Linked DNA regions of Oryzias latipes. The main gene of each other region encodes a partner of the protein of the gene in region 2 in a complex. Links are inferred from orthologs where the notes say so. Each region holds a gene or a part of one and is shown on either strand. Other genes may lie near its edges.

Region 1 (5,900 bases), on a different chromosome or scaffold from region 2:
TAATCAGTGCAAAACTTTAGTCTTAATTTCTTTTCCTTGTTTAGTCCGATTGCCATTTGTGTTTCAAGGTGTGCAAATGTTTTTATTGTACATTTTTAAATTATTCACTAAAAATGACTGACCATAAACATCTAAGTAGGTCAATAGTTCAACTCAAAATACTCATCACTGTGTCCTTTCCCTATACGCTAGTTACAGAGGTGGGCACTGAGGGCCGCAGTCCTGCATGTTTTCCAGCATACCCTGCTCTGGCATGTTCTAATTGGCTGGACACACCTGAACCAGGTAATCAGCCATGAGTAGGGCAAGAGTATCTGGAAATCATGCAGACACACCGGCCCTCGAGGCCTGGAATTGCCCACCCCCGCCTAGTACTTAGTTTGAAAGTCCACATATAAAACTGGAAATATCAGATTGTGTGATTAGACTTAAGTCAGTTATCAGTTGTGAGGATCAGTGAATGAATCAAGATTAGTGTAGATTTCAACCTTGATATCTATGAGATCACTACTGTTTCAATAATGTCCCCATTATTGTTCATCTAATTCTATAACAAAAAAATCAACAGACTAGTGTCTATTTAACCAAGATTTACCTAAGACCAACATCCCCAATAATGAAAAAAAAAATGAAGAAACTAAACTCCACCAAAAGGATGTAAGGTACTGGTTTTTCTTTGCAGTAGCAGCACTTTGAGGTCAGGTTTTGTAGTACAAACAGGAGCATTCAACCAATACACATCGAGTGCTGTAAGTTTTAGTGGTTACAAGGGAGGGAAATATAATTTTGAACTTTTAGGTTGTCCTATCAGTTTGCCTCAGCAAGCAATGCCAGCGCCCAGGTGGCTTTGAACCCAAGCCTCAAGGGGTTAAACTGATTGTACTAGCCTGTCACCTAAAACTTGTCGCAAAGTTGAGGGTTTTTGGACTATCAGTAAAATCGACGACGTGTACTATGTACGTGACTTAATGTTGACTTTACTGCTGGGGCAATTTAGTTTCGGCATAAAAAAGGCGTGTCCACATACGTCAAACGTATTCAAATATACATTTATATCTGGTAAAAATCCATCAAAAAGTAGTTCTTATTGATAGGGAAAAATACAAGTGTACTCTTGCCTACCTGCCAACAAAATTCTCCAAGACGGAGCTTTTTCCAGCGCTCTGTCCACCAACAACAGCAATCTGAGGAAGATCTAAATTACAACTCTGACCAATCGAACTAAAGGCGTCTTGAAGCTTGTTGATGAGGGGAATTAAATCTTCCATTCCCCGGTTCCCCATGGCTTCGTTAGCTCTGAGAGCGCCTTCAATTCAACGTAAACCGGAGGCTAACGATAACCACGCTAACTAGCTAGGTAACGTTAGCTTAGCAGAAGCTACTATCTGTCGGGTTGCTGCTCTCAAATGTTGAGTTCCGCTTGTTCAAATGGTTCAGCCGCTAATTTTCGTCGTTCAAACTCGGGTCGTCTGCCTTTAATGTCGTTCACGCCAACATAATGCCGTGCTCTTGACGTGCATTAAATAAAATCTTAGTCAATCAAAGCGCACAGAGAACTCGCAAAACAAAACTTCCTCTCCCCAAACGCCATCCGGTCAGCATAGACGACATCCGATCGAAACCGGTAACTAAAGCCACGCCTCTTTTTTCTTTTCTTTTTTTCCTCCTGTTAAACTCGGTCGCCTATTGGCTGCTTTTGAAGCTTTCAGGTGTGGCGGGGGTGTGGGTCCTCCCAATAATGTAGTCCCGATCTGTGATTGGTCAATTTGTGTGTCACTTGTTTTTGCTCCAGGTCACATGTTCAATGAAAGATGGCTGCCACGGTGGAACGTGTAATAGTTTCAAGCAATCCAGAAAACAGCATGTCTTTGCAGAAAGCGTTGTCTGCAGCTTCTCCCCTCACTCTGCGAATTGTCGCGGAATGTCCGGTGACTAAAGCCAGAGCTTGTGATCTGACCCTGCCGCACTGCACCGTCAATACTCCGGTTTTCATGCCGGTCGGAACACAGGGGACCCTGAAGGGGATCACTGTGGATCAGCTGGAGAGCCTTGGATGTCAGATTTGTCTGGGAAACACATACCACCTTGGTATGCGACCTGTAGGTAACCCAGTTAAATTGACTAGGCTTTAACTCGCTATGGAGGAGAATGATAATTCATGTTTTCTCTTGACAGGGGCCTGATTTGATCGTAAAAGCCAAGGGTTTGCATGGTTTTATGAACTGGAAGAGGAATCTTTTAACCGTGAGTGTTTATTTACTTCCCTGAATAGATTGCAAATTATTTATGGACACTTTTTTTTATAATGTTTGTGCTCTTCTTGTAGGATAGTGGAGGGTTTCAGATGGTATCTCTTGTTGAGCTCTCTGAAGTCACAGAGGAGGGGGTCAATTTTAAATCTCCTTATGATGGCAAAGAAATTTTACTAAGTCCTGAAAAATCCATCAGCATACAGAACAGTCTAGGTCAGTAAATTACCTCAAAAGTATTTTAAAGTATTCCTCCGTGTTGCTTATTGATGTTTGTTTTTGTGTCTTTTCCCAGGCTCTGACATCATGATGCAGCTGGATGACGTGGTCAGCAGTACCGTGAAGGGGCCCCGGGTGGAAGAGGCCATGCACAGATCCATACGATGGCTGGATCGCTGCATTGCAGCCAACAAAAACCCTGACAAACAAAACCTCTTTGCAATCATCCAGGGCGGACTGGATGCAGAGCTGCGGAAAGCCTGTCTAAAAGGTAACAACCAAGCCTTCAGCTTTAATTAGGACAACTTGGTAGGAGGAGAAACTCCGTTACAGCTTATGAAATTTGGGTCAATTAATGCACAAATTCTCCAAAAATAAACATATCTACTTGTGAATTCCTTATAAATGTTTTGGTTGTTGTACCAAATTAGCAGAAGGCATTAACATTTAATATGACCAACAATTTCTTTTATTTATTTACAGACTGAACTTCTGTCTGTTTTGTTGTTGGCTATCAAGTGTTGTAACTTTAACTTAGATTGTATTTCTTTTAGTTTTTTATGTATTTATTTATTTTTAGAAACATACACCTTAAGGTTCTCTATTTGGTCTCTGTTTGCTACTTTTTTTTTAATAAAAGCCTAAATGTGTCATTTATATGGGCTAAACTGGCTAAAGCTAAGGGTCTGTCCTTCTTCCTGTGCTTTCACTTAACTCAAAAAATATTTTAATATAATTAATCATATTTAACCCATAATGCCTTTCATCTAAATCTAAAATGCTCGATTTGATATTCCAGATTTTATGTTCATACCTGGGATTACTACAGAGAAAGTAACTTATAATGCAGATGTGTATGTAGCACATTGTAGTTCTAAGACAGTAAAATTGTAATGTGAATAGCATTAATAATATTTAGATATGTCAATATTTACATATTGAGCAGCGATACTTGTTTTTTTCTATAATTGTGGGTTTAGTTGTGTCTGAGGTGTTTTTCTGCTGATGTGAAGTTTCTCTTTCTTACTTCTTTCTAGAAATGACTCAGCGGGACGTTTCGGGTTTTGCTATTGGAGGTTTAAGTGGAGGAGAGGAGAAGAACGACTTCTGGCGAATGGTTACTCTGAGCACTGACCACCTCCCACAAGAGAAGCCTCGCTACCTCATGGGCGTTGGGTACGTTTCTTTGTACAAACTAACATTTATTACAAATGAGTGGCTTTGGTGCCATTAAATCACAGTTTGTGATGTCTGCATGTGTTGCAGGTATGCTGTAGACCTGGTTGTATGTGTGGCTTTGGGGTGTGATATGTTTGACTGCGTGTTTCCGACCCGCACTGCAGTAAGTGCTCTGCCTCCTGTGCTAAAAGACAAATTAAAAAATATATATATTTGTATATTTATATATTCCTTGCCTGTTTCTATCAGAGGTTTGGCTCTGCTTTAGTGCCATGGGGATCTCTTCAAGTGAAACAAAAGCAGTATGCTAAAGACTTCCTGCCTATAGACCCAGACTGCCACTGTCCCACATGCAAGAGGTAAAGGAGGAAGTCATCTTTACTTTAAAGAGTTGTTTGTTCCCTCAGCTCCTCAGGTTCATAGATTAAACTCGTTTTGAACTAATGCAATTGTTTTGTGGCATAAAATTAAATTTCAGGATTGGAAATTGTGGTAAAAGTATTTGCAAACCAACAAAGCAAATGTACAGCTTTACTTTGTCCGTTTTCACATACCTTGCAGTATGCAAGGTTACAGTGTATTGCAATCTTTCATAAGTAATCATTACACTATTATTGTTCAGTAAACCGATAGAAGCGGCATGTTTCATGCTAAATGGGAAGAAAACCTTTTCTTTTTTCGTTGCAGGCATAGCCGGGCTTACCTGCATGCTTTATTTAAGAGTGACACTGCAGCCATGCATCACGTCACCGTCCACAACATCGCCTACCAGGTAAGTGATGGCAAACATCTAATAAAACTTGCAAAATTATTCAAGTTTTGTTTAGTTTGATCATTTCAGTATTTTTCACTCTTTGGAAATCCACCATAGCCACTTTTTTATGTTTCAAAGTTTAATTTCTGTGTTAAAAGTTTAACAACAGAGTCTAAGTTCTATTCAAACACAAACTTAACTTTGTGTTTTATTGGTTACATAAATGTAGAGTTCTGCTCTAATTAAACATTGCTTTCTCTGAACAGTTAACGTGCTGTTTTGACGTTTAAAAAAATCCATAAAAAGCCCCACCTTTACATGTTATGATGTGCCTTTGTCTGCCATTACATTGCTTTAGTGTTTTTCCAATATAAAAGTGTTACATAAAACCTTAAGTTTCAATGTACATTAGTGTGCTGGGAGAGATCGTCAGGTGTGCTGTGGGAAATTATTCCATTTTCCCTTAATTGGCCTAAAAGGGTTTACTATTACCAGGATAGCAGCTCTGTGTTTATCCAAACCGCCCAGGTTTCACACTGAGTAGGTAGAAATATTAAAGATTGTGTTTATTTGATTCTTATTCAAGACACCTTAAGAGAGACCAAATCTCTTTTTAATTTCTACTTTTTTGTTTGGTTGGTGGTGTGCCTTGTTAATATCATCAAAGAAAAAATGTACCTCGGCTCCAGGTTAAAAACACTGACATGTCACAAGCTGACTTTTGTTTCTGTTTGCTGCCCTAAACTCTCAAACATCTGTCTTTGCAGCTCTCCCTGATGCGCTCTGTAAGACAGAGTATTGTAGAAGGCCGTTTTCCTGAGTTTATAAGGACCTTCATGAAGCGGATGTTTCCTTCTCGGGATGATTACCCCGGCTGGGCTGTGGACGCTTTGGCTTCTGTAAACGTCACTTTGGACTAGAACCTCGAAAGCATTTGTTTGTTTTCTTAATGAAAAAAAAAGACAAAAAAGAATATATTTTATATATTTTTAAGAATCCTTTTTGTACTAATGAGTTTTTTTTTTTTTTTGGTTGTCTGTTTTTGTAAAATCTTGCTTCTCTCAGCCTCTGCAAACTGTTATCACAATTCATGTTTTTCTAATGTATGTTTAAATGAGATTTGAAATACATGAAACATGTCCTCTGATATGCTCTGACACTTTTTTCCTCGTTACTATGGTTACACAGCTTTGCCCATCCAATTGAAATGTTTTTGCCTCCCTGTCAGCCTCTTTAATTTGTGTTCCTGAATACATATCAGCATATTAGAATTTTAGCCAAAGCTCAATTTGGGTTTCTGCATATCAGTTCTGGTTTTTCAGTCCACATCTGGGTATTTGTCAGCACGCATCTTCAACTGATGTTGGAATCAAAATTCCTACTAGTTGTCAACTTGTTTAAATGTGACCACCAGGGGGCGACACATCTTGAAAAAAAAGTCGCTTTTACTATTAAGTGTCTTAAACTAGTTTTAAAGTAAATCTTCATAAAAGTAGAGC
Region 2 (6,044 bases):
TTATAATTCCTGACCAGTGTGACGTTCATCCAATTTCTCTGAATTGTCTGTAACATAAATTGAACAGGTAATGTGCAATTATCTTTGTCAAAACATTTTAAAAGTTAAATGTAATTAATTTCATTTAGAAAAAGCAAGCCTTTCTATTTGTAAAATTACAACTTTTGGAGCCCCACATTTACAACTTTATTCTCACAAATAGTATTTTTTTTATTGTAAAACCATTCTCGTAATATTTTGACTCTTCTCTTAAAATAATACAACTTTATTCTCACATATTTATGCATTTTTTTTCCATGTTGGCCCTAATGCTCAGTCATTATCATTGGATGTATTTACCAGAGAAATATTTGTCATTTTAACCTTACTAATTATGACTTTGACTTTAATTATGACTAAAAAAAAACTAAGAAATCTAATCAGGAAGTGAATTATGGAAACAACTGATGGAACAACATGTTTGTTTGAGTTTTCTTGTCTTTAGAGCAAATCATGTTTTTCTTTCTTTTTTTTTTTGTTCACAAACATCTTTTTTACTTTTACTTCTACCAAAAAAAAGGAACCGAATCACTCAGAGTTTCGATCCACATCTTTTCATCTGTTTTTTGTTAAATATTTAAATTTCTTTTTCAGGAAAAAAAATCACTTTAATTAAAAAAACGTTGTGTTTTTCCACACCGATGCTGAAGCGAGCAAACCTTGGTTTGTCCTCAGGCAGCTCCGTGGTCATAGAAGTGATAAGCTGCGTCCTCAGAGCCTGGTCCACAGAGCCTGTTTGGAGCCCATCCAAGCAGAATCCTGCCACAGGCCTCTTCGCCGTCTCCCTGGCTGAGCGGACTCTTTCTTCCATGACGTCTCCTCCCTCCACCACCCCAAACAACTCAACTCCATCCAGGTCCTGGAACGAGGCAGACAGAGTGGTGATAAAAAACGAAGAAAAAAAAATGTTTCAGAATGTATACCAAACGTGACGACAAAAAGGCTGACTAGACAATCTATAAAGGAAGAAAAGCATCCTTTTCATTACTGAGGCTTGTTCCTGCGTCTTTATCCACTAACATATTCATGCTAGTCTGAATAAAGTGGCTGTGTCAGCACCCAGACATTACTCAGTATGGATCTCAAAAGGAGGACTGCTCAAGGATGTACGCATTTAGTGAATGTGTGTACCTGGGATTTCTGGTGCACCAACAGGCATTCATCCAAGTAAGCCAAAGTTCGATCCACAGACTTCCGGATCCTTTTTCGAGAAGTGTTGGTCTGCCAGGTCTCTCCATCTGCCATGCTCTGATACCAGTCGGGCTTCACCGTCTTCAGGAGAGCCATGAACTTGGACGCTGTCAGCTCTATCCGCCCACCACTGCCCCACACGGACACCGTCTGTGTGAGACAGCAGAAATATCAAGTTAGGAGACATGCTGCCATGGAGTGTCACAACAAATAAAACATTGTTGTTCAAAACTGAGATCAGGATTTCTTTTTGTATATTTTCGCATTAACTGTGCTTGAAACTACAGCCGAGTGAGAGAGGATGTGTGTGCAAAGGCAAACACGTCAGGGGGAGCTGCAGCTCACCTTGTTGGTGGCGTAACCCGTCGGGCTGCGTGTTGCAGGGTCATGCAGTGAGCAGTAAAGTACTGTATTGTGGAGCCCTGACAAGAGAATCAGTACATTATGGTCACAACATGGAAAAAGTACGTGTGGCGGGTGAAGACAAAATAAAAATAGAAGAGAAGTGCTGCTTTTCTATGAGTAAACACAGAAAACTGGTCCTCAGACATGATGACAATGTTGATAGCATTTTCATGTAAAGCTTTAAAAACTTTTTAATGTTCAGTCAAAAACATTGTACGTTTAAATTTCATTCCTCATGTATGGGACAGGTTGTGTTTTCATAATAAAATGTATAGTAAATTTCAACCTCTGAGGTCTAGAGACAAAGATTTAACAGCCCCGATGATTATTTAAATAAATGCAAATAAATACAACTAGGAAAAACTTGTATTTCTGCTGTAAATAAACTGCTCCTAAAACCTGTTGTTGCATCATTTTGCGATTTAAAACATTCTTTGCTTAAAAAAATGGAAACATATACGGATATGAATGAAACTTTACTTCTATAGGTCTTTAGAATTCCACCAGTGTAAAAATGAGATTTGCAATAAAAAAAATTAAAAGAATATTTAAATTGAGCAGATAAAGAACAAAAATAAAAAAAAAACAATAGAAAAAAAGGCAATAAAATACATAAAAGACAGATAAGAGTTCAATAAAATTAGCAAAAAGAAAGTAAGATGCCACCAATTTTAAAACCCATTGTATGCACATCACTTAACCAGACTAACAAACACACTTTTGGGGGGAAAAAATAACTATACAATTCAAAACACCACATATTATTTGAAATAAAAAGAGCAAGATCACGTTATTAAAAAGTTTATATCAAAGTAGATTTTCAAAAAAAGTATTTTGTTATTGTTTACATGGTATAAATTTATTCTTAACAAATGCATGTCAGCCCCACAGAGGTAGAAATAGTTATTTTTTTTTAAACAAGGCATCTCTTTATGTCTATTAAATATTGTTTGTCTTTCATTTTCATGTACGGTCAGTCAGATAAATATTGTTAAAATGGAGTGAAGAAAAGTGAAGTGAAGTCAAGTCAAGTCAAGTGAAGAAACTAATCATGGCTAGTACCTGCAAACGCCTTGAATCCTTCCTTAAACTCCTCCAGCACCTCTTGGTGCTCTGCTCTGGTGAGACACGTGATGGAGATGCAGGTTAAAACAGGCTCAGCCAGGCAATAAGACTTTTTGCTGAACCAATAGGATTTGACAGGTTTACATGCACTTCAGGAATTGAATAGTTTAAAAATGGATGGGACTAAGTCAATATTTTGATTTCTTTAAAAGTGTAGGGATCTAAAAGCTCAAACTTAGTTGCTTTTATTGTTTTTTTACACATCTTTTGTGTCGCAACCATCCTACAAAGTTATTAGATCCAAAAAACAGGCAGTACTCCAAATGTAGTGTTTGGATTTTTCTAACTCCGTTACAAGGGGATTTCCTCTTTGCTGTCTCTTTAGTATGGAATACTCCAGAAATAAGTCAAGAACTCTGAAGTTATTTCACCAATAAAGCTTTCAGTGCCATGCCAACATTTTCCAGTAATTAGATTTTCTTGTCTATATTTATCAAAGTTTTCCCCCAGTTCTCTGTTTGTTTTTATTATATTTAAGGATATTGAATTTAAATAGCAAAAATAATCTTTAAAAAAATGAAGGAGTCAGACAACGATCAAATTTTTTTGGAGTGCAAATAGGTTTTCATGAGCATGGGTTTCTCTTACATGTTAGACAAAGTGACCTGGGTGACAGAAGGGAGGTTGTTGACAGTTTGTAGCGTGTCCTGAGTGAGGTGCGGGACGGTGCCAAAGTGTGTGTACAGCAAACATCCCGGGACCTTAAGAGAGTGCTGACCAGTCCTCCCGATTCCCTGCAGAACACCCAAACGAGCGCCTCCTTGTATCACACGGGAAAGCTCCAGCTTCATCACCTTGCAGTTCGACAAAACATTCGGCTTAGTCTCAATGAACGTGGGGGCTAGCAGCGTGGCTAGCTAAACTAGCATTTGTACTCACGTGCTACAGTGCTAACAAATCTTTTGCTGTTTAAAGTAGTTTTATCCCCTGAGGTCAAACGTTTTGCAACGACTTATAAATTTGCCTTTTTAAGGTATTAAACGTTGCATTTACTAAACAAGATAATCGTTGTTGTTTTTTTGTTGTTGTTCCTTTAGCTAAAAACTTGTGCAGGATATGAACTACAAGTCGCTTAAATATGTCGTCATCACGAGCGACGACTGACAAAAACTTTCACAGTCCGGGCTTCTACTTTTTCTTTTACTTAAAATGTCAAAATTCAAAAAATGCGTGGGGTTTCTTCTTATTTAACAGATACCTTAACAAAAAGAACAAAATGTCACGAATTAGAAGACTGTCGTCAAGTTTGCAGAAGGGAATGGGGTTGTCATGGTTACTGATCACCTTTCAAACGTACGGCTTTTGTGGGACATGTAGTTTTTTTTTCCTTATTTGATACTTTTCACCAAGAAAAACTGTTAATCTACTACATTACCCATAGTCCTGTGTTATTAGATGGTGTTGACTTGAGCTCTCTGTACTTCGGCATAACTTTCGAACACTTTCCACTTAAGAAATAGACAGTCCTTTTGATTAAATGTGTCTTTTTACTGACCAAACTAAAAAAAAAGGTAATACATATGAGGTTTAGGGAGTTTTAGATCTACAGGTGTAGAACTTGTGATGGCGTTCTCTGGCAACAATCCTCACCTGTTCAGGTGGAAAAGGCTTAGTTCTGCAACCAAGGTAAGTTTGGACTGCTGTTAAATTGGTCAATCGAAAGAATCGACTGTCTGTAATCATTTCTTTCTACTGAAAAAAAGCAATTAAAAAAAGTCACCTAATGCTTCTCAAAATAAATGATAGGTGGTCAGATAAATTCTATCTAAATTGAAAATCTTAAATCCTTTCTCAGCCCTCTTTAACCTCCCAGATCTTTCAGCAGCGATAAAAGATAAAAAATATAAACGAAATTGTAGTTGCATGCTGAAATTGCATATTTAAATGAAGGAGAGTCAGATTTTTCACGCAGCATATGGAAGTATAGCTTATGTCAGTAGATTAAACCGCACACACAGTTCTTTCTTTGATACTCTTGTGCTTGCAGCTGTACACCCCTGCAGTATGAGACTAAGATAGCCGAATCGCTGCTGGTGAGCAATGACTTTTTGAAGTCTGGGAAATGATTCTGAGGTAATCTGTGGATTTAAGGCAATAGCTAAGCTTTTCTGTGGAAAAAATCTGCAGATATCAGGCTCTTGGCTCAGACACCCCCCTTTCAAAACTGTTTCCACAGCTCAAGGTGTCACTAAACTAGTCTGGGGATTTTCCAACAGGCAAAAGTGACCATACGACCTATATTACTTTGAGAGCTTTACGCTTTCTTTGCAATGGAAGCAGCTTTCACCTTAAATATTTGTTCTTCTAAAAGCAGAAACCTGACAAGAATGGTGGAAATGATCTCTGGAAGAAGGTTAGAAAAGTATTTATTGGTCAGGATTTATTTTATCAGTTACATTTTGGTCAGCTGTTTGTCTCTTTCAGCGAGTCGAGATGGCTTCTGAGTTTGCAGTTTCTCAAGTTTTTGCAAATAAAAAGCCTCATTTGGGAACCAGGGGGTTAGCCACACAAATGCACAGCACGGAACAGTTAAGGGATCATGATGAGGATTACAGTGAAGGTAAGCTGGTCTATAAAACATAATGATAACAAATGGGTGTGTGTGAAAGAAGGCTGCACAGCGGTACTGCACTTTCTACTGAGCAGTTAGGAAATTTCATTAACCACCACTCTGCAATGCGTGGGTATAGCTTTATTTTCAGAGCACAGGAATCACATTGAAAGGGATTTTGAGAGTTTGTCAGAAGAAAAACTCTTCATTTGGGCGGACATGGTTAAAAAATCTCTAATAGAAAAAACACAATCACTAAAACTTGCGGCAAATGTCAATTAGCACTAAATTGATTTTAACTGACTTTTTTTAAATAAATGAGTCAAACATTTGTACTTGCAGAAGGACAATGGGAGTATTCAAAGTCACAAAACCAACTTTTTTTTTTTTAAGCAAGAGTCGACAATGTGAACAGGGCCATTAAGGGAACAGCAATACAGCAGGGCAGAACTGCGATTAAGAAAGTCACCGCTCTCTAAAAATAACATTGCAGCCTGTCAGCGGTTTGCTAATAATGGCATGGACATGACAAGAAAAGAAAAAAAAGGAGAATGTATTTATTGCTTCTAATGAGATGAGTTTGGTTTTGGAAAAGATCATTTGTCACAAACCTTTTGACATATTTGGTTCATGTTGCAGCTCAGACTCTTTTGAGTAACTGGTTGAGCAGTAAGTTACGAATTGACCTGGAAATCGAAGATGAGGATGACCTGATGTGTCCTGATGAAGGGAG

The links.
Region 1: the proteins of qtrt2 (region 2) and qtrt1 are in contact, whole or in part, in a crystal structure (PDB 7OVS), measured with the Mus musculus proteins. The link is inferred for Oryzias latipes from reciprocal best matches to the Homo sapiens genes QTRT2 and QTRT1. Residues at the interface, in NP_001343258.1 of Mus musculus: Arg39, Thr40, Gly41, Ser42, Ala43, Pro44, His45, Leu46, Thr47, His48, Gln49, Thr50, Asn53, Glu70, His71, Glu73, Val74, Glu77, Tyr78, Phe85, Ile86, Gly87, Phe119, Gln342, Glu343, Phe345, Tyr355, Asn359, His360, Ala363; in NP_068688.2 of Mus musculus: Thr50, Thr53, Met54, Lys55, Gly56, Ile57, Thr58, Thr59, Glu60, Gln61, Ser64, Arg80, Pro81, Leu85, Lys88, Ala89, Phe95, Met96, Asn97, Ala307, Lys308, Phe310, Pro320, Thr324, His325, Ala328, Phe329, Ala332, Leu333, His335.

Annotation. Positions count from the first base shown.
Region 1 is NC_019866.2:9,401,558-9,407,457, forward strand, and holds qtrt1 (queuine tRNA-ribosyltransferase catalytic subunit 1), read left to right. Parts: upstream 1-1,777; 5' UTR 1,778-1,811; coding exon 1,812-2,099; intron 2,100-2,175; coding exon 2,176-2,244; intron 2,245-2,326; coding exon 2,327-2,465; intron 2,466-2,544; coding exon 2,545-2,739; intron 2,740-3,505; coding exon 3,506-3,644; intron 3,645-3,734; coding exon 3,735-3,810; intron 3,811-3,896; coding exon 3,897-4,006; intron 4,007-4,334; coding exon 4,335-4,419; intron 4,420-5,168; coding exon 5,169-5,321; 3' UTR 5,322-5,623; downstream 5,624-5,900. Other genes in the region: dynamin-2, read right to left, coding at 1,123-1,283.
Region 2 is NC_019878.2:17,734,520-17,740,563, reverse strand, and holds the start of qtrt2 (queuine tRNA-ribosyltransferase accessory subunit 2), read right to left. Parts: upstream 3,842-6,044; 5' UTR 3,640-3,841; intron 3,555-3,639; 5' UTR 3,552-3,554; coding exon 3,349-3,551; intron 2,754-3,348; coding exon 2,698-2,753; intron 1,653-2,697; coding exon 1,576-1,652; intron 1,381-1,575; coding exon 1,171-1,380; intron 899-1,170; coding exon 699-898; intron 1-698. Other genes in the region: ccdc191 (coiled-coil domain-containing protein 191), read left to right, coding at 4,324-4,386, 5,072-5,113, 5,185-5,320, 5,951-6,044. UniProt on the Homo sapiens protein: Non-catalytic subunit of the queuine tRNA-ribosyltransferase (TGT) that catalyzes the base-exchange of a guanine (G) residue with queuine (Q) at position 34 (anticodon wobble position) in tRNAs with GU(N) anticodons (tRNA-Asp, -Asn, -His and -Tyr), resulting in the hypermodified nucleoside queuosine (7-(((4,5-cis-dihydroxy-2-cyclopenten-1-yl)amino)methyl)-7-deazaguanosine).